Arabidopsis thaliana: one gene and its partners. The protein of the gene in region 1 interacts with the protein of each later gene in a pairwise test. Each region holds a gene or a part of one and is shown in the gene's direction. Other genes may lie near its edges. The genes, in order: AT1G51580, AT3G55290, AT3G13224 and ECT1.

Region 1 (5,132 bases):
CCACCTTCTTTAGCTTTCATGGGCATTAAACCGGTCGCATTTAAGACCCCTAGCTCAAGCACACCGATGTTAGGCTTCCACAGTTGCTTTGCAGTTGGTCTTAGGTCACTACTGTAATGTGTAGACTCATCAAGCACATGATACCCTCCTTCCAAACAAATCCTCATGTGGATCTTGCTGGCGAATTTGATCTCTTTCTTCTCTCCTCCTTCCATTATAACATGCTTCTCAAGGTTAAACCACCTGCTGTTCACCGGTCTATAGTCAAACCTTTTGTCCAAATACTGCAACGGAACCGCGCATCTCCCCAAGACTTCATCTTTATTCGGCGCAACTCTATCTTCCACACTTAGAATCAAAGGCTCTTCAAACGGCTCAGCTACAACAAACATCAAATCCTCATTCCACATCGGATTAATACTCCTGCTTTGTGACACTCTAGTCCTCAATGCCTGATTTCCCATTATCACTTTCACAAAGACTTCAGGATATCTCCCTTTATCGCTCGGTATCAAATCCTGAGCTTCAATGACATTAACCCTAAGATACCAAAGCTTAGGAGAGAGATAAACCTTAGATCTGATGTTAGCTAAAGCATCAGTTCCACTAACAGTTGCAGCATCAGAGTGCCAAGCTTCAGGAAAAGCTTCATCAGCTTGAGTACCAAACCAAACAGCTAACATAAGCTCTCCTTTAACTTTTTGGCCTTTCCCATCTTCTAATCTATACCATTGTGGAGCTAAAGGACTATCAGGAGGAACTCTCTTAGGTATCTCATTCAAATCAAACACAACACGACCAATCAAATCATCTTTAACTAAATCTTTATCCTTGACAGTAGCTTCAAGATAAGAAGCTTGTACCCTATCTTTAGAAAAGGCGAAAACTTGGTTCCACTCAGGATTAGATTTCTTCTCGAAATGTCTAGTGGTTCCTCTGTAGTTACCAAGCTTAACTTCAACGTAAGGGTCACAACTACCAGTTAAGTCTTTACCTGGTAATTCTTTAGCCTTTACGACACGAACATAGAGATACTGCATTTGCTCGACGAGGTCATATGTGGTTGTGAGCTTATCTCCGGTGACTTTGCCTCCACCGAGATGAGGTTTTGTCTCCTTTAAGGAGAAATCTTCAGGAGGTGGTCTCTGCATCTTTGAAACTAGTAAAGTTTGGATTTTTTCTTCTTTCAGAAACACTAGATCTATAAGTTAGATCTTCAAAACAAACAAACAACCCCAGAAAACGATTTACACCAGAAATCTCAGAATCTGCTTAACATTAAACCCCCAAAAAAAGAAAGAAGTAAAGAAGAATCCTTTCTTCTTCTTCCTCGTAAAATCAGAAGATAAGCATTGAGAGAGTTTTAGAAAGAGATAGAGAGAAAGGACTGTAGTGAGAGAAAAGTAAAACACATTGAAGTAGAGTGGTGAAGGTTTTCTTGTCTTCTTCTTCCTTTTGCTTTTTTTTTTTTTGCTCTTTTCGATTTTTGTTTTAAATTCAAAATGATTTTATGAGTTGGCAGAAAGAAAAAAAAAAAGGCCAATAAGTGAAAAACATTTTCTTCATAATCATGAAATTTGATTTGAAAAGGACTACACAATATAAATTTTTATTTCTTTCTCTCCTTTTTTAAGTACGAAAATATGAATAGAACTTTTATTTCAAATAATACTCAAAAGTCTCACATACTATGGCAATTCTCAAAAATACCTAAATTGAGTATTATTGTTCCACAAATACTGTCACTAGTTTTTTTCTCAAAACATACCACAAAACAAAAACTAGATTTTAAACTTTCAAAACTAAATCCTAAACCGTAAAAATAAACTCTAAATCCTAACAACAAATTCTAAACTCAAAAGTTTAAATTATAAACCTTGAAAAATTAATTTTGGTGTTTGTAATAAATTTGGAACAAAATTTTTGTTGTAGTATTTTCGAAAAAATAAACTCATTAAAATATTTTTGGAAAAGAGAAAAAACATAGTTTAGTGGTATTTTATAAAACAGATTTTAAAACATTTAAGAGCCTTTGAGTTAAACTCAAAACGACGTTGTTAAGCTTATTCGACTAATGGAGTTCTCTACCTCAAAACGTCCGGCGACGACAGCGACGGCGGCGGAGTCTGTACATTTCCGTCTTCTCTGTCCGGCAACAAGAACTGGTGCAATAATCGGAAAAGGCGGCTCAGTCATTCGACACCTCCAATCTGTAACCGGTTCAAAAATCCGCGTCATCGATGATATTCCCGTTCCTTCAGAAGAGCGTGTAGTGTTGATAATCGCACCTAGTGGAAAGAAGAAGGACGAATCGAATGTGTGTGATTCCGAAAACCCTGGCTCTGAAGAGCCTAAGCAAGAGAAAGGGAGCGAGTGTGCGGGGACTAGTGGTGGAGATGACGAGGAAGCGCCGTCGTCGGCGCAGATGGCTTTACTTAGGGTTTTCGAAAGAATAGTGTTTGGCGATGACGCTGCTACGGTTGATGGTGATGAATTGGATAAAGGTGAGAGTGAAGGTTTGTGTAGGATGATTGTTAGAGGTAATCAAGTAGATTACTTGATGAGTAAAGGAGGGAAGATGATTCAGAAGATTAGAGAAGATAGTGGAGCTATTGTTAGGATCTCATCTACTGATCAGATTCCTCCTTGTGCTTTCCCTGGAGATGTTGTGATTCAGGTATACACAGCTTCTTGTGTCTTTGTGGCTATTCAATTTATAGAGCTTTTTTGGCTGATTTAGTAATGTTTTTGTATGAAGATGAATGGAAAGTTTTCGAGTGTGAAGAAGGCGCTTTTGTTGGTTACAAACTGTCTTCAAGAAAGTGGTGCACCTCCAACATGGGACGAGTGTCCGTTTCCGCAGCCTGGTTATCCGCCTGAGTATCATTCTATGGAGTATCATCCTCAATGGGATCATCCTCCTCCTAATCCAATGCCTGAAGATGTTGGACCCTTTAATAGACCGGTTGTTGAAGAGGAGGTTGCGTTCAGGTTGTTATGCCCGGCTGATAAAGTTGGAAGCTTGATTGGGAAAGGTGGAGCTGTGGTGCGAGCTCTGCAAAACGAAAGCGGTGCGTCAATCAAGGTTTCGGATCCAACTCATGATTCAGAGGAGCGGATTATTGTGATATCGGCACGAGAGGTATGTTGATTTGCTCCATGGATTTGGTTTATGTATATCATTGGATACTTTGTCTCATTGGTTTACATTGTTGTAGAACTTGGAGAGAAGGCACTCTCTTGCCCAAGATGGTGTGATGCGTGTGCATAATAGAATTGTTGAGATTGGATTTGAACCTAGTGCTGCTGTTGTTGCCCGGCTTCTTGTACATTCTCCATATATCGGACGTCTATTGGGTAAAGGGGGTCATTTGATAAGTGAAATGAGGAGAGCAACTGGTGCTAGCATCCGCGTCTTTGCGAAAGATCAAGCTACAAAGTATGAATCACAACATGATGAGATTGTTCAGGTAAATTTTATATAACATCCGCGGCCTCGATAAGTTTTTCAACTCTGTAGTTTTCTTGTTATTTGACACCTTTTTGCTGGATTGGCAGGTCATTGGTAATTTGAAAACTGTTCAAGATGCTTTGTTCCAAATATTATGTAGGCTTCGGGAAGCAATGTTTCCTGGAAGACTTCCTTTTCAAGGAATGGGTGGTCCACCTCCGCCGTTCATGGGTCCGTATCCAGAACCGCCTCCCCCATTTGGACCGAGACAATATCCAGCTTCTCCAGATCGTTACCATTCTCCAGTAGGACCATTCCATGGTATTTCATCAATTTCCGACCCATGATCACCAGTTGATACATGCATCAATCTCAGTTTCTTAATAATGTCTACTTGTTACATATGATACAGAGAGGCATTGTCATGGTCCTGGATTTGATAGGCCACCTGGTCCTGGATTTGACAGGCCACCTTCCCCAATGTCTTGGACCCCGCAGGTATGTGAACTCAATGATCTTTATTCCTTCGTTAGCTGTCATGTCCTTTTATTTCTTTCTAATTCAACATTTCTCAATCGCCAGCCGGGAATCGATGGCCATCCCGGTGGTATGGTTCCTCCTGATGTGAACCATGGATTTGCTTTGAGAAATGAGCCCATTGGCAGGTATCACTTTCCCGGCGCTGTCTTTGTTCACTTTAAAACTAAATGACTTTGAAATGCCAGAAACTGTACGAAGGAATTTTATCCACTAATTTCACATTATTGCCTTTTGGTTATGGTGTTGGCAGCGAGAATCCAGTAATGACAAGTGCAAATGTGGAGATTGTGATTCCTCAAGCATACTTAGGTCATGTCTATGGTGAGAACTGCAGTAACCTGAATTACATCAAACAGGTATGTTGCCGATAATATATGAGCAGCTGGTCATTTTGAAAGGCTGCATCTGATTACCGTTTGTAAACCTAATCAACTAGGTATCAGGAGCGAATGTGGTTGTGCATGATCCAAAGGCAGGGACTACAGAAGGACTGGTGGTTGTCTCAGGCACATCGGATCAAGCTCACTTTGCTCAAAGCCTTCTTCATGCTTTTATTCTCTGTGGTCAATCTTGATTGCTCTCTTTTCAAAGTGTGTACAATTTTAACATGATAGTAAAAAAAAGCTCTTCTACAAATCCAAAAATCATAGGAAACAGTAAAGTACCTCTACAAATTGCTGTGGCAAAAACGTTGTCCATCTGTTCTTTAAACTGATACAACAATGTGCCTCAAACTTTGTGGTAATATATAATAATATCAAATTCCATTTGAGCAGAAACTGTCTACTAAACGTTAATCTGATGACCAAACTTCCTCTGGCGTAGTGCTATAGTTGGCTTACGCGGATCATTCCGTGCCACAATCTTAAGCGGATGGGCTTCTGTGTTGAAAACCCACTCGTCTAATGAAATAACAGATGAAGGCGAAAAGAGAAGATATAGATACTTAAGAGTCTCAGCTAAGAAGAAGCTTTGCATCTTGTTGTCTTTAGCACCTGTATTGACCTGAAAATGAAGAAGCAAACGTTAACAACGTGTTTCCGAAAGATGGAAAGGCCCACTCGAGGAGGGTATCTGATTGGTTAAGGTCAGCCCGGCTCGAAACTTACATCCTTCAAGCCTACATATCCAGATTCTACGC
Region 2 (3,526 bases), on another chromosome or scaffold:
TATGGATTCATCTGATTATGTGCTTGTTTGTCTGTTATTTGCCAATGATCAAACTTTCCTTGAATGAGATTTGTTACCAGTAGTGTAAATGGTTTAATGTTCCATTATTTTTGCAGTTGATGTCACCAAGAAAGCCGACCCTAAGGCTAAGGCTTTGAAAGCTGCGAAAGCAGTGAAATCTGGCCAAATCGTTAAAAAGCCTGCGAAGAAGATCAGGACAAAGGTTACTTTCCACAGGCCAAAGACATTGACCGTTCCTAGAAAGCCTAAGTACCCAAAGATCAGTGCTACTCCAAGGAACAAATTGGATCATTACCAGATCCTCAAGTACCCTCTCACTACTGAATCTGCCATGAAAAAGATTGAAGACAACAACACCTTAGTCTTCATTGTTGACATCCGTGCTGACAAGAAAAAGATCAAAGATGCTGTCAAGAAGATGTATGACATTCAGACCAAGAAAGTCAACACCCTCATTAGGTAAACACTAAAACTTCACTGAGATATGGGTTTATGTAAACATGGAGTGATGAGTGTATGTTTGTATGCAGGCCCGATGGAACAAAGAAGGCGTATGTGAGGTTGACTCCTGATTATGATGCTTTGGATGTGGCTAACAAAATCGGGATCATCTAATCTGATCATTGTCGCTCTGTGATTTTACTTTTTCTGGTTTTTCTCTTCCATAGTCTCAGTTTTGCTAGAGAAGTTAAGATATTACTATCACCATCTCTTTGTTATGCTTTTATCTTTGGATTCAAAAAGATTATATGTTTGGTATTTGTTGATGCGTCATAGTTTCTATTCAGATCGTGTTCCAATTCTTAATGCTACCTCTCTAATCCCGGTTTAACCTGGTTATATCGTACCTTCGTAAATAACTAATAAGTAATACCCAACCCAAAATTCAAGTGGTCCATTGGACCCATCTCTTTGTTTAGATGCTTTCAAAGTACAGAACAAGTTCACTGTGGTCTGTGGAGCCCAATCTAATCAACAAAACAATCGATCCGCGAGAAACTCGTGGTTGTAAAAAACTTTTACTAAATGAATTATTGTTGCTTGTTGCCGGAAAACGACAGAAAACGTCGGTATCATTGAACTAACGTCGGTATTATTGAACCATTGATTGATAGTTGGAAAAAAAAGAAAAAAAAAAGAAATCATATATTCCTTTTGTTCCTTTTTGTTTGATTTTCTAAAAAAAGATATATATATTAAAAAAATATATTAAAGTTGATTTTAAATGTATTATTTTTTTTGTGTTTTACAATTTTCTATAATTTTAAACCAATAATATTCAATTATTTTTATTAAAGTTTATAATTTATCAGTAATAACTAATAAATATTGTATAAAAAAATCTAAAAAATCAATCTTCTTGAAACAAATATTTTTCTTAGAAAATCAAATAAAAAAGAACAGATGGAGTATCTATATATTAATAAAGATAACAATAAATAAAATCATCAAACCTAAATTGTTTCCCACGAATCAGTTTCGAGACATTGGCACGTTAAATTGTCGATCTGGTAATGAAGTAGGCTTTACATGTAGTAGACTAAAGTGTTAATTAGGACCTAGACCCTACAGATTTGGGCATAAACCGTCCTTTGTTATGGGACGTGTTCTACTTGGTATCTCTAGAACCGCGGTCTTTGGCAGATGGATCAGATTATATCTTTTTGACACTTGTATTTATATATGTTATATGTTATTGGCTTCTCCTTCCCCATTGGCCATCGAACACACCACACAGAGAAAACAATATGAGCAATCATCAAACTGTGAGATAACATTTTCTCTCATTTCCCATCTTTCTTTTTATCTTCAAAACTATTCATATAACCATTTATATAAGACCACTCTCCAAATTACCATGCTTTTAACCTTTAAATATGATTTCTGTTATCTTCTTTACCATATGATTCCATATGGAAAAATTGTCAATCATGTGTTTTTGTCTTTGTAATCTGAAATTACTTGATTTTTGTATTTTGTTTTTTTTTTGGGGGAGAAAAGCAGGTGTTGAAGCTATTGGAGCCATGGTGTGAACTTAAAGACAAAGTGGTTCTTGTGACAGGAGCTTCCTCTGGTATTGGAAGAGAGATCTGTCTTGATCTTGCCAAAGCTGGTTGCCAGGTTATTGCAGCAGCTCGTCGTGTTGATCGACTCAACTCTCTCTGCTCTGAAATCAACAGCTTCAGTTCAACTGGAATCCAAGCCGCAGCTCTTGAGTTAGACGTTTCATCAGACGCAGCCACCATTCAAAAAGCGGTCAGGGAAGCTTGGGACATCTTTGGAAAGATCGATGCATTGATCAACAATGCTGGAATCAGAGGCAATGTCAAGTCGAGTTTGGATTTGTCAGAGGACGAATGGGACAACGTCTTCAAGACCAACTTAAAGGGTCCTTGGTTAGTATCCAAACATGTTTGTATGTTAATGCGTGACGCTAAACGAGGTGGCTCGGTGATAAACATCTCATCGATCGCCGGGATCCGGGGTATGTTGCCCGGTGGACTTGCTTATGCTTGTTCCAAAGGCGGTGTTGACACCATGTCAAGGATGATGGCACTTGAGTTAGGTGTTCATAAGATCAGAGTGAACTCGATCGCACCGGGGCTTTTCAAGTCAGAGATCACACAAGGTCTTATGCAAAAGGAGTGGCTCAAGAATGTTACCGAGAGGACTGTGCCGTTAAAGGTGCAACAGACCGTTGATCCAGGGCTTACTTCTCTGGTTCGCTATCTCATTCATGACTCTTCTCAATATATATCCGGGAATACATACATTGTTGATTCCGGTGCTACATTGCCCGGTGTGCCTATCTTTTCATCTCTCTGAAAATCGAACCTTATAATATCTTATCTTGTGCAATAATAAGTGAATACATTTACTCATTCTCTACTACTTTTTAAGATTTACATACATCGTCAAAAATTTGCAATAACAAACCAGCAGAGACACAAAAAGAAAGGACAGAAAAATAAACAGCCTCCTGATTGTGATGCTTTGGTTGTGGCTAACAAAATCGGGATCATCTAATTTGATCATGCGTCACTCGGTGATTTCACTTTTGGGATTGAAACAGACTTCTGGTTTTTCTCCTTCCATAGTCTTCAGTTTTGCTAGAGACTATCATCTCTTTGTTATGCTCTATCTTTGAATTTCTTGAAGTCAAACAAGACAGCTCTATCGGATGTACTATGGAATGTACGACCAGAGTCCATAACCCATTCTTTGCATGTGCTTTGAGTGCTCACAGTTAACACCAAAGGTTGCGGAGGCTCAGTTGCAATATTAGCCAATTCTGCATGTTTCTTTCTTTGAGGGCATTCCCTTTTCCAGTGATCTTCCTTTCCACAGATAAAACAACTTGTGTTGTTACTTGGCCTTGACTGGAATTTCCCATTTCCACTTGAACTTCCTGTACATGGCCTTTTATTTCCCTTATTGTTTGATCTGCCCTTAAAATCACCCAATAATGCTTCTGAATCTGGTTTTGACACGTTCAGCAATCCCT
Region 3 (5,189 bases), on another chromosome or scaffold:
ACTCAGGAACAACTTAACAGAATACAGAATGCACTTAAAGCAACATTAGCAGGCAAGTAATTATATGGTATAATTTATACCTCGCTCGGACTGTTGTGGGATCTGAAAAGTTTCAACTACAGCATATTGAGTATCGTTTTCTACAACAGAATCTGATACAGCCACTGATACACTACTTTCTTTAGACTTATCCGGCTCAACAACATCCTTAGAAGAAGAAGTAGCCTTGGAGAGAGGCTGTTCCTCTGTGTCCACCTTGTCCACAGGGGATATGATAGCATCTTGAATTTTCTGGTTACTGATTCCACTTGGAAGACTTATAGGGTTCGGGGCCCTGAAAAAGAATAGAATGCGTTAGGAAGCCCATATCCAAAGAGGGAATTAAAGACATAGACAGAATTAAAAGTATGGATACATTATGGAAGAAGGTTTTGTGTCGTTTCTTGCATTGTTAGGAGCAGACGAAGCAGTTCCAGAACCTCCTATTATGTGATTAGCTCCACTCTGCTTTTTAAAAGCTGCACTTCTTCCATTACTGGCATCTGAATCAACAAAGAGCTTGAATCAAGGAAGGAAATATAGAACACAAGTTTAGAAGTAAAAGAACATAAACCACAATGACCTGTGTAACTTGAAGCAAAGTTCTTCCGTCCAGTCCGGCCCCTTCCTTGTGTATTTGGCACTAAATTCTACAACAGGTAATACACATAAAGGCATAAGAGAAACGAGATGATGTAAGCTAAACAGAGAACTCAAGACCACACTTAAAATGCAAAGTAAGGATTCAAAAGAACATAGGAAAGCTACCTCTTTCTTTCTCTCCCGTTTGCTTCTCACCTCATGAAATGTATCTGAAAGATCAGTAATAATATATGAGTACATGTCTGCTATCAAAGTACATGATTATGTTGATCTTGAAACAGTAGACAGAATCAAAACTTAACCCAGATGCCCAATCTCAATCAAAGCTAAACAGAAATTCCCTTTCCACATTCCAGCTAGATTGGTAAAGATTTAAAACGACAGTTTCTTAGTCATGAACCCAAATTCTACATATTCCATTTCAGTAAAAAAGATTCCTTATTTGAACATCCCCAGACATATTATACCAATTAGAAATCTAAATAAACAAAACATAAGATTCTAAGCATAACACACAGATTCTAAGACAAGACCAAAATCGACAAAGGGCATTAAATAGCAAAATCCAAAACAAAACCCTAGGAGAAGCACACGCTCAATACAACAAAAAGGAAGTAAAAACACTAAAACAAAAACAAATGCTGAAGCTTTCTCAGTAAAACAACCTAAATAGAGAAGCTTCTGAGTGGTCTCATGTGGATCACTGAAACACTCCTTAAAGACAGAGAAGATATCCTCGTCGGAATGTTGTTTACCGGTAACCTCTCTGATGTTTTGAATGGTTTGAAGCAGATCAGCCGGAATAGAAACCCTAGAGCCGCCATCGCCGCTGATCCTGCTCATGTTGGTTACAGAGAGAAAGAGAAGCGGAGGGAGGAGGAGAGAGGAAATATGGGTTGAACATAAAGACTTCGTATATAGTACTATTATTTATTTCCGTACAATCTACCGCTTAATGTCTCTCTCTACGTATATTTATACGCTGACGTCACTGTTTATCAATTTCCTCCTCATTATTTGATTGAGTACTATTATTTATTTCCGTACAATCTACCGCTTAATGTCTCTCTCTACGTATATTTATACGCTGACGTCACTGTTTATCGATTTCCTCCTCATTATTTGATTGTTTTGTACGCGTTTAATGGAAGGAGAGACAACAAAGTTGATATGGCCGAGTTGGTCTAAGGCGCCAGATTAAGGTTCTGGTCCGAAAGGGCGTGGGTTCAAATCCCACTGTCAACAATTTACTTTTTTTTTTTTTGTCTTTTTACAAGAATAGGAAAAATAGACAGCTGTGTAAAAAAATATTAACTTTGTTTTGTTTCCACAAGTCGATGTCCAAATTTAAGAATATATATATATTACACGATTTAGCTATCTCCTCTAATTAGATGAAGAGACATCAGATCTTATCAAAACCCTAGCTTTCGGTGTCTCTCTCGATCCTTTAGCTCAATCGAAAACTGAATTTAGGAGCTGCGATGGGTTCCAGATCTCGTAATGATAATTTCCAGTCCGGCGATGGCGCTAGTCCTGGGTACGTTTACTTCTCCTACCTCTTGCATGTTTGATTCCACAGGATTAAGGGAAATATCTCATAATCTGTTGGCTTTGTAACTCTTTTTATATTGTTGGTTAAGGTTTAATTTATGTTTTGCTTGGAATTTTTGTGTTGCAGGAAAATATTCATTGGAGGATTGCACAAAGACACGACTAATAGTAAGTTTCTTCCTCTTGTTTTGTTCTAGAAATTGCGTTTCTAAGTTTTGTTATGTTATGGATTCTTGTGTGTGTTTCTGATGTTAGACCTGTTGGAATGTTGATTCTACTTGCTCACTTTGGTTTTGATTGCAGCTGTGTTCAATAAGCACTTTGGCAAGTACGGGGAGATTACAGATTCTGTCATTATGCGAGATCGACATACTGGACAACCTAGGGGTTTCGGTTTCATCACCTTCGCTGACCCTTCTGTTGTTGACAAAGTTATCGAAGATACTCATGTCATCAATGGCAAACAGGTCGGCCACTTCTCTTTTCTTCCTTCACTAGCTTATAGTGTTCATTTTTAGTAGGGTGTTGGGTCTTGATCAATACTTTTTTCCTTGTTTTGATGGAACAGGTTGAGATCAAAAGGACTATTCCGAAAGGTGCTGGTGGCAATCAGTCAAAGGACATCAAAACAAAGAAGATTTTCGTTGGTGGTATACCCTCAACGGTTACAGAAGGTAGACCTCCCTCTTGGCATGATATTTTTTTGCTTTCCATGAGAATGCTGGTTTCCTGTCCTTATTGAAGTTGGTTTCTTTTTCTGTTGATCAGATGAACTTAAGGACTTCTTTGCCAAGTATGGGAACGTGGTGGAGCACCAGGTTATTCGAGACCATGAAACAAACAGGTCCAGAGGTTTTGGTTTTGTAATTTTTGATAGCGAAGAAGTCGTAGATGAATTATTGTCCAAAGGAAACATGATCGATATGGCAGACACTCAGGTAAGCTTGTACAAATGGGGATTAGAATTTTGGTTCATGATGACATATTTATCTTGGTTTCAATTTGATATTTTCTCCTTGTTCCTTTCATTATACACGTTTAACTTAGTTAGAATTCTACCCACTAGCTTACCAAATGTAAGGAGCTTGTCACAGTAAGATAGGAAATCCCTGCTATAGTTTGGGTCCTTAGCATAGCTAGGTTAATTAAGTTGCTTTGTTGTAGGTGGAGATCAAGAAAGCTGAACCAAAGAAATCTCTAAACCGTTCACCTCCTTCTTACGGTAGTCACCCTAGAGGTCGTTCTTCTAACGATAGTTATGCAAGTTATGGTGGACCTTACGGAGGTTTTGATGGAGGGTATGGTCATCCTCCAGGTCCCATTAGGTCACATGGAGGTCCTGCTAGTAGATATGCTGGGGGATATGGGTATGGTCGTGGCAGTGTAGGCCCTGAATTTGGAGGAGGTTATAATAATTATGGGGGTGGTAGTTTAGGAGGTTACCGGAATGAACCACCCCTTGGCTATTCTAGTCGTTTTGGACCCTATGGGAGTGGGTTTGGTGGTGAGGGATATGGCCGTGGAGGAGAAGGAGCCTATTTGGGATATCCTCGTGGAGGAGGGGAAGGCTATGGGGGATATGGTGGGCCTGGTTACGGCGGTGCATATGAATCTGGTGGCCCAGGTGGCAGTTATGAAGGAGCAGGTGGTCCATATGGGAGGGGTTATAGTAGCAGTAGTCGATACCATCCGTATGCAAGGTAGGGTCGAGGTAATAGCAATCAGTTGGAGCTATAGAAGCTTCTCTCACAGGTTCCTCTAGATTGTTCCAATTGCTCTAGGTGCATTCTAGAGTTATCATGTAGCGCCAACATCAGGAAGGGTTGCTAAGGACAGGAAGAGCATCAAAAAGCTTTTATTAGTCATCTTTTAGTTGTGTGTTTACCTAATTTAAGTGTTGTCTTATCTCTATAACTTAGATTGTGTTATGTAGACTTTAGCATATTTGGGCTTGGAGTTTGTTTCTCACTGGCACAAGAATGATTTATCATTTGGTAGTCTTGTTAGATGATCAATTACTCGCTTAGCTTAGTTTTCACAATCATACGAATTAGCTTAAGAAGCTCTGCAAAATGTGCACTCATCTATTCTTTAGAGCTCAAGTTGAATGCTTTATGTGGTCTCTTGTATCTCTGTACATTTTGTTGTGCTGAACAAAGGTTTGACGGCAGTTAGTGCATGTGTAAGTAGGCATATTTTTGTCAGCTGCATACGTAGGTTCTAGCTACAAATTGGAATTGTATGTGTTTGAAAACGTAAAATCAATTATAAATGTTTTTGAAAATCATCTATACAAGCATGGTTATTTGGTTCTTGTTTCCTTATTTTTTCGGGTAAGGGCCACGGATAATTGGTTAGACATTGGTTCTAATAATGTGGGTTTTGTTATCTGTAATTTCTCGTCAAAATGATGTACTGTATCATTAAATGAATATCACTTATTGTACATGCTTTTATAAGTTAATTGAAATCCAAACTCTTTTACGTTTTAAGTGCAAGGATTGAATGATACAAACAGCAAAGAGACAATTCTAAGACAAAGTTTTCAAAAATTTATGACGACGAATGTGTCACACGTACGACACATTAAAAAGAGTTGACAAAAATACATAATACATAAAAGGTCTACCCAATCATAGTTGATAATCTTAATTAGTGATTAAAACGAAGGTGTAAAGTGTAAACATGATTTTAATCTCAATGCTTTAAGGCCGATCTTAGCAGTAGAGTAAAGTGTAAACGAACGTATTGTTTTTACACCTAGAATTTTAAGTTCTGAAATCCATTCTATCTATTTTTGAAATGCAAAAACGATTTTCCAAAATCTCCATATATTTTGTTTGGTCGATTCCAAATCTCTCTATTTAATTGACGATTTTACTGCAAAGAAAACGACAACCTCGGATATTCAGAACCGCAAAGAAAGGACACAAAGGAAAATCACTATTTTTAGATACATAATGTTTACATTAACTTCTCTTTTATAACTCTAC
Region 4 (5,343 bases), on another chromosome or scaffold:
CGAAGAAGATGAGACGATGAAGAAGAGGTTGCAATTTTTGTAAAGAGATTTTTGAGTTTTGGCAAAAAAAAGTAAGTTTTTTTTTTTGTTTCTTGGGGGAAGGATTGATTCACTTTTTTCGATATTTTTTTCTACGTAAAAAATATTACTAATAATAATATTTTGAGAATTTAACACTAATTAATTTTTCTCTTTTTAAAAAAAATCATTTTTGCAACGTTAACTTTTTTTTGTTCTCTGTGCTCATCATCCCTAATCGCAGATGCTACTTATTGGCTATCGCTGTTCCGCTTTGGGTTCCTCGCGTGCCTTTTTTTTTGTACAGATATTTGTTCATAGAAATATTCTAAAATGTTATATGAAGAAAACTTAATTAAGAAAATGCTTTGTTATGTCATACGTGTAAGCACATTTATCACATAAATTTTCACTCGATTTGTTTTGAAACAATGAAAAAAAAGAAAGAGGAACTTGTTTCTTTTTGTTGACAACAAATCGTATGTCACAAAATCCATTAATTCATGGAGATCGGTGAAGCACATCGCGCTGTATGCATAATGGCTTTGTATATTTGTATTAGAAGTCAATGATTTGGAATTAATATGTCAAGTGATTATTAAAAAAAAAACGTAAGATTCAAGTACATTTCATATTGTTTGGCTATAAATTCTAGGCAATCAAATTATTTAAAACATGCTTAGAATAAATATATTTAACTCTAATATCAGTCGAGTGAGATGGCATAGAAAGACTTCAAAGTTATCATGTGTTTACTTAATATCTTATATATATTTCTTCTCTAGTGAGTGTTTTTAAAGTGGTTAAAAATCTGGTTGCAAAAATAAAATTGTTGCATCTAACACCAATTTAATGGTGCATATACTGTATGTGGAATTAAGTTGTTGGGAATGTTTTTGAGTTTTTTCCGGCCTTGAGGATGATGTTGTCCTTACCGCCTCATACAACTAATGAATGAGAGAACATGTGAGACAAAGGATAAACATATTGATCAGTTTTGTGCAACTCCATGTGATGTTTGCCAAAAATAATTTAATGCTATTTATATTTGAGAATCCATCACGAGCACAAGTTAAATAACTTTTGAAAAGCTATACATAGCAGAAACCAAACTCTAAAGATTTTGAGTTTATTTATATAAAAATTTAAAAAACGTTTTCCAATTCACCATAAATAATTTGAATTAATTATTATTTTAAACATGACTTGAATTTGTCTACTATTTTTGTTGTATGTGAGACCACAATACTAGTAACCCCACAAATCAACCTAAGATTTTATTTTTCTCATACACCTACTTATGTTAGAAAATCCACAGAAATTAAAATATATCACCAGTTCAAGGCCTACCTTTCTTTTTTTATAGAAGTTTAGGTAAGAAGCAAAATTATGGATCGATGCCTAACATAAGGTTCGTATCCCCTTGGAATCATCTTTGAAGCCATCTAAGACTCGTTTATGAAGCATCATCCCTTTTACATATGTGCAATGAAGGAATAATTTTAGATGCGATACCGATAGATATGGTGTGTTGATTAGCTTACGGAGTCTAATCACATACACACTCAATTTTTTGTCCTAGCCAAGAAAACCCATGTTTGCGACCGATCATTTTATATATAATTTTTGGCCTAAAATTTGTAAAAGTTTTCTTGAGTTGAATTCAAAATTAACGGATTTTCATATTTTAATGTTGTCAATATGAAAACCATATTTGTAAATTTCTCGCGAATGATTAGCAAAGTTTTAATATATCCCAACCACCACTCCTTTTGTATGTGTATGTTACAATTAACAAACATCACCATGGTTAGTACTTCCTAAACAAATGGAATTCATGATAATTTCTCTTAAGCAAAAGTCCTAAAAGTGTAGTTAAGCTTTACTGATTCGCTATATTGATTTTAAGTTAAGAAGAAAAAGAGGTCTCACTAATAAAAGCAATCAACGTCAAATTTTCAGAATCTTCTCGTGTGACGAAAAATCGTCATTAAGAAGAGGAGCCTTATCTTTTTGGGTTAAAGGAGCAAAAAAATCGAAATTTGTCGCTTAGAATTCCTCGTAAATTTGACCCATTTGGGGGCATTTCTGTTCTTTGTTAAAGATCACCGCCTTACGTTAAAGGGGAAGGAAGACGAAGAAAACAAAAAAGAACGGAACTTTCTAAAACCCCCCACACACCAAAAGCGCTCTCTCTCTCTGGGTTTTTCGAGGTTGCGTTTGCTTTCATCTGCCCAACCTTCTAGGGTTTTCCTTCTCTTAAAGCTTATCCCTTTTTTTTGCCTTCTCTCGATATGGCTGGAGCCGCTTCTTCTGATCGTCTCGTCACTAGCTTCCCTCTTCTGGGTACGTTGCTTTTAGCTCAAAGATTAAAACTTTTTTGGCATCGGAAGTTATCATTTTGTGCTCATCTTATAACTTGCGATTGATTTCTACCCTTGGGTTTAGGGTTTAGCGACTAGTGTTATCAGTATCTGTCGTAGGTTTTCTGTTTCTGATAGGATTGATTGGTGTCTAGAGTTCTCTACAAACCTCTTTATGGGATGCTAGATGAAATTTTGTGTTTTTCTGCAAGTTAGTGTTTTTTTATCTGCTTATGGGTTGAATTTCACCAGTAATTTGCCTTGTTTAGACTGTGCAATTGGAGTTTGAGGCTTTGTCATTTTAAAATATTAACTGGGCTCTTGTATATAATCGCTGCAGATACAGCAGATTTGTTTCAGGACTTGTCTTTAGGTTCAGATGCAAATGAAGTTCCTATGAACTTTACTAAGGTACTTAATTACTACTTCTTTTTGAAAATTTAAAGTTTTTGGAACTTAAATTGTGTTGTGTCGAAGGATCTTTAACTACAAACTGTTCTGTGGAGAGGTCTTGCTGCTCATTTAATGTGAATTTGATATACTGTGAGTTTTTTTTTTGTTAACTGACTGTTTTCTGAGAAGGGTTCTTTTCAGCATCCGTATGGTCATGCACCTTATGGTGCATCTTCTCATGGAAGTGAAAGAAGGCCAAACATGAATGCTGGCAATCTGCTAAATGGTGGAGACTCGATTGGTTCATACCCGTGGGGTTACATCCCAGCAAACTATCCTTCTGGTGGCTACCCTGATCCGAGGTTTGGTTATGACCGCAACAGCAATCACAGTTCCTTTTCACATCTCATGGTATGTTGGTTACTTCACATGACCTCTCTGCCTCTTTTCTGTCTTCATATAGTCAAGAGAATGTGTGTTTTGTTCTCTTCGTCATCTCTGCTGGGACTTGGGATTTTTTTTTTGTCTAATTACTGGCTACAACTGTTTTATTTAACAGAATCCACACAGCTCACAAGAAGTACCAAGTTTTGACCAATTGGGATATAATGATCATTTGTATTCCAACCATGGATTGTATGGACTTTACGGGAATGTAATTGACTCTGGTCATGCATATGGAACTTTTGGTTATGATTCCTGGAAACTTGGGCGAGGATGGTATCCCGTTGATGGTTATAGAAAGACCAGAAGCTTCAATCATGGGCGTGGTTACAGTGATGAGAAAGCAGATAGGCTTAATGAGCTATGTCGAGGACCAAGGAGTAGTGATTTCAAGAATCCACAAGTTCTTAACTCTTCAATGCTAGATGCAATGAAGCAAGACGTTTCAGCAGTAGATCTCCAGCGCTACAATGGGGAGAATTTCCCTGAATCATTTGTGAAAGCAAAATTCTTTGTGATCAAGTCATACAGCGAAGATGATGTTCATAACTGTATTAAGTATGGTGCATGGTCGAGCACACCAACTGGCAACAAGAAGTTGAATGCTGCATATTATGAAGCCAAAGAAAACTCCCAAGAATGCCCTGTGTATCTTCTGTTCTCGGTCAGTATGAGGTTACTTCACGTCTTGTGCAATATCCTTTCAGATTTACATTAAGTAACTCACTGTAATCGGTTTTATCTACAGGTGAATGCAAGTGGGCAATTTGTTGGTCTTGCGGAGATGGTAGGCCCTGTTGATTTCAACAAGACAATGGAGTATTGGCAGCAAGATAAATGGATTGGTTGTTTCCCTGTGAAGTGGCATATCATCAAAGACATACCAAACAGTCTCTTAAGACACATTACCCTGGCGAATAACGAGAACAAGCCTGTCACTAATAGCAGAGACACTCAAGAGGTCCGTTGAACTTCCCCTAAACCCTTTCTTGGACATGTTTGAAGCCTAATTGAATTCTAATAAATAATGATTATGGCTGTTAGTCAGGCTTTTAAACTGTACGGTGATGGTTTTGGTACAGGTGAATCTGGAGCATGGGACCAAGATCATAAAGATCTTCAAGGAGTATATGAGCAAGACATGTATACTTGATGATTACAAGTTCTATGAGACAAGGCAGAAGATCATCAGAGACAAGAAGATCAAGCAAAAGAAACAGGTACAATTCCTTAAACCCTGCTGCATCTAAAGCACATTAACCACCCCTCTTGATACAGTCTCTGGGATTGTTTCATTTTGATTGTTTTGTTATATTAGGCCCTTGATGGAGCTTCGGGGGAAACAATTAACTTGAGTTGAAAGATGGAATCAATGCAAGGAAAGAAGAAGATGACTTAATTAAAAGAACTTAGTTTTGAATTATGTTTTTTCTTCAGGGTTGGGATTTCTAAAAACCTAATACACATCTTTAATCTGTGTGTTTTCTCTGCTTATCTAAACAAAACTTACATTGTCTTTTGTTCCTCTTAAGGGGACGCACATCTGATAAAACAAAAACTCAGGCTTTCCTTCAAAGTTCATATCATGTTATTTTCAAGTTATTTCTCTTTTAGTCCCTAAACTTTCATATAATAAGACTCTCATCCGTAAATGTCAAAAATCTCACATTTTGGCCCACATCACCATAAAAGTTAAAACGACACCGTTTAGCACAAAAACCAGAAGGAATGGTGTTCTCTATTCGTCCCTAAACTTTCATATAATACAACTTTCACCCCTAAAGATTTAAGATCTCAATTTTTGGCCCCCATCCCCTTAAAATTTAAAACGACACCGTTGTGAACTCCCATTTTAAAACCTCGAAAGTTTTCTAGGGCAATCTCGGCCACTTTTACTCACAGAAAACCTTCTCTCTAAACTTCTTCGAAAATCTCACAGAGCTTCTTCTTCTTCGCTTTTAGGGTTTTTGCTCTATTGTTTCGAGTGACCCAACTTCGAAGCTTATAGATCGTTACCTTAGAAAATGGTGGGTATGTCGATGCAGCCATATGGTATTCAATCGATGCTTAAAGAAGGTTACAGGCATCTCTCTGGTCTCGACGAAGCCGTCATTAAGAACATTGA

The links.
Region 2: the proteins of AT1G51580 (region 1) and AT3G55290 interact in a two-hybrid assay, tested with the Arabidopsis thaliana proteins (one large-scale study listed by BioGRID).
Region 3: the proteins of AT1G51580 (region 1) and AT3G13224 interact in a two-hybrid assay, tested with the Arabidopsis thaliana proteins (one large-scale study listed by BioGRID).
Region 4: the proteins of AT1G51580 (region 1) and ECT1 interact in a two-hybrid assay, tested with the Arabidopsis thaliana proteins (one large-scale study listed by BioGRID).

The regions. Positions count from the first base shown.
Region 1 is NC_003070.9:19,123,538-19,128,669, forward strand, and holds AT1G51580 (RNA-binding KH domain-containing protein), read left to right. Parts: upstream 1-2,045; 5' UTR 2,046-2,074; coding exon 2,075-2,677; intron 2,678-2,758; coding exon 2,759-3,142; intron 3,143-3,218; coding exon 3,219-3,470; intron 3,471-3,558; coding exon 3,559-3,772; intron 3,773-3,863; coding exon 3,864-3,949; intron 3,950-4,033; coding exon 4,034-4,116; intron 4,117-4,241; coding exon 4,242-4,347; intron 4,348-4,427; coding exon 4,428-4,565; 3' UTR 4,566-4,624; downstream 4,625-5,132. Other genes in the region: AT1G51570 (Calcium-dependent lipid-binding (CaLB domain) plant phosphoribosyltransferase family protein), read right to left, coding at 1-1,151; MNS1 (alpha-mannosidase 1), read right to left, coding at 4,778-4,996, 5,101-5,132.
Region 2 is NC_003074.8:20,500,884-20,504,409, forward strand, and holds AT3G55290 (NAD(P)-binding Rossmann-fold superfamily protein), read left to right. Parts: upstream 1-1,624; 5' UTR 1,625-1,769; coding exon 1,770-1,787; intron 1,788-2,022; coding exon 2,023-2,847; 3' UTR 2,848-2,985; downstream 2,986-3,526. Other genes in the region: RPL23AB (ribosomal protein L23AB), read left to right, coding at 117-480, 552-636.
Region 3 is NC_003074.8:4,252,722-4,257,910, forward strand, and holds AT3G13224 (RNA-binding (RRM/RBD/RNP motifs) family protein), read left to right. Parts: upstream 1-2,004; 5' UTR 2,005-2,126; coding exon 2,127-2,182; intron 2,183-2,268; exon of another isoform or gene 2,269-2,294; coding exon of another isoform or gene 2,295-2,323; coding exon 2,324-2,364; intron 2,365-2,499; coding exon 2,500-2,663; intron 2,664-2,764; coding exon 2,765-2,870; intron 2,871-2,964; coding exon 2,965-3,134; coding exon of another isoform or gene 3,135-3,293; exon of another isoform or gene 3,294-3,360; coding exon 3,361-3,900; 3' UTR 3,901-4,686; downstream 4,687-5,189. Other genes in the region: GIP1 (GBF-interacting protein 1), read right to left, coding at 81-334, 416-542, 623-689, 808-851, 1,308-1,485.
Region 4 is NC_003074.8:1,019,190-1,024,532, forward strand, and holds ECT1 (evolutionarily conserved C-terminal region 1), read left to right. Parts: upstream 1-1,956; 5' UTR 1,957-2,312; coding exon 2,313-2,364; intron 2,365-2,721; coding exon 2,722-2,792; intron 2,793-2,963; coding exon 2,964-3,185; intron 3,186-3,333; coding exon 3,334-3,882; intron 3,883-3,966; coding exon 3,967-4,179; intron 4,180-4,300; coding exon 4,301-4,438; intron 4,439-4,536; coding exon 4,537-4,578; 3' UTR 4,579-4,826; downstream 4,827-5,343. Other genes in the region: AT3G03960 (TCP-1/cpn60 chaperonin family protein), read left to right, coding at 5,243-5,343. UniProt on the Arabidopsis thaliana protein: Specifically recognizes and binds N6-methyladenosine (m6A)-containing RNAs, and regulates mRNA stability. M6A is a modification present at internal sites of mRNAs and some non-coding RNAs and plays a role in mRNA stability and processing.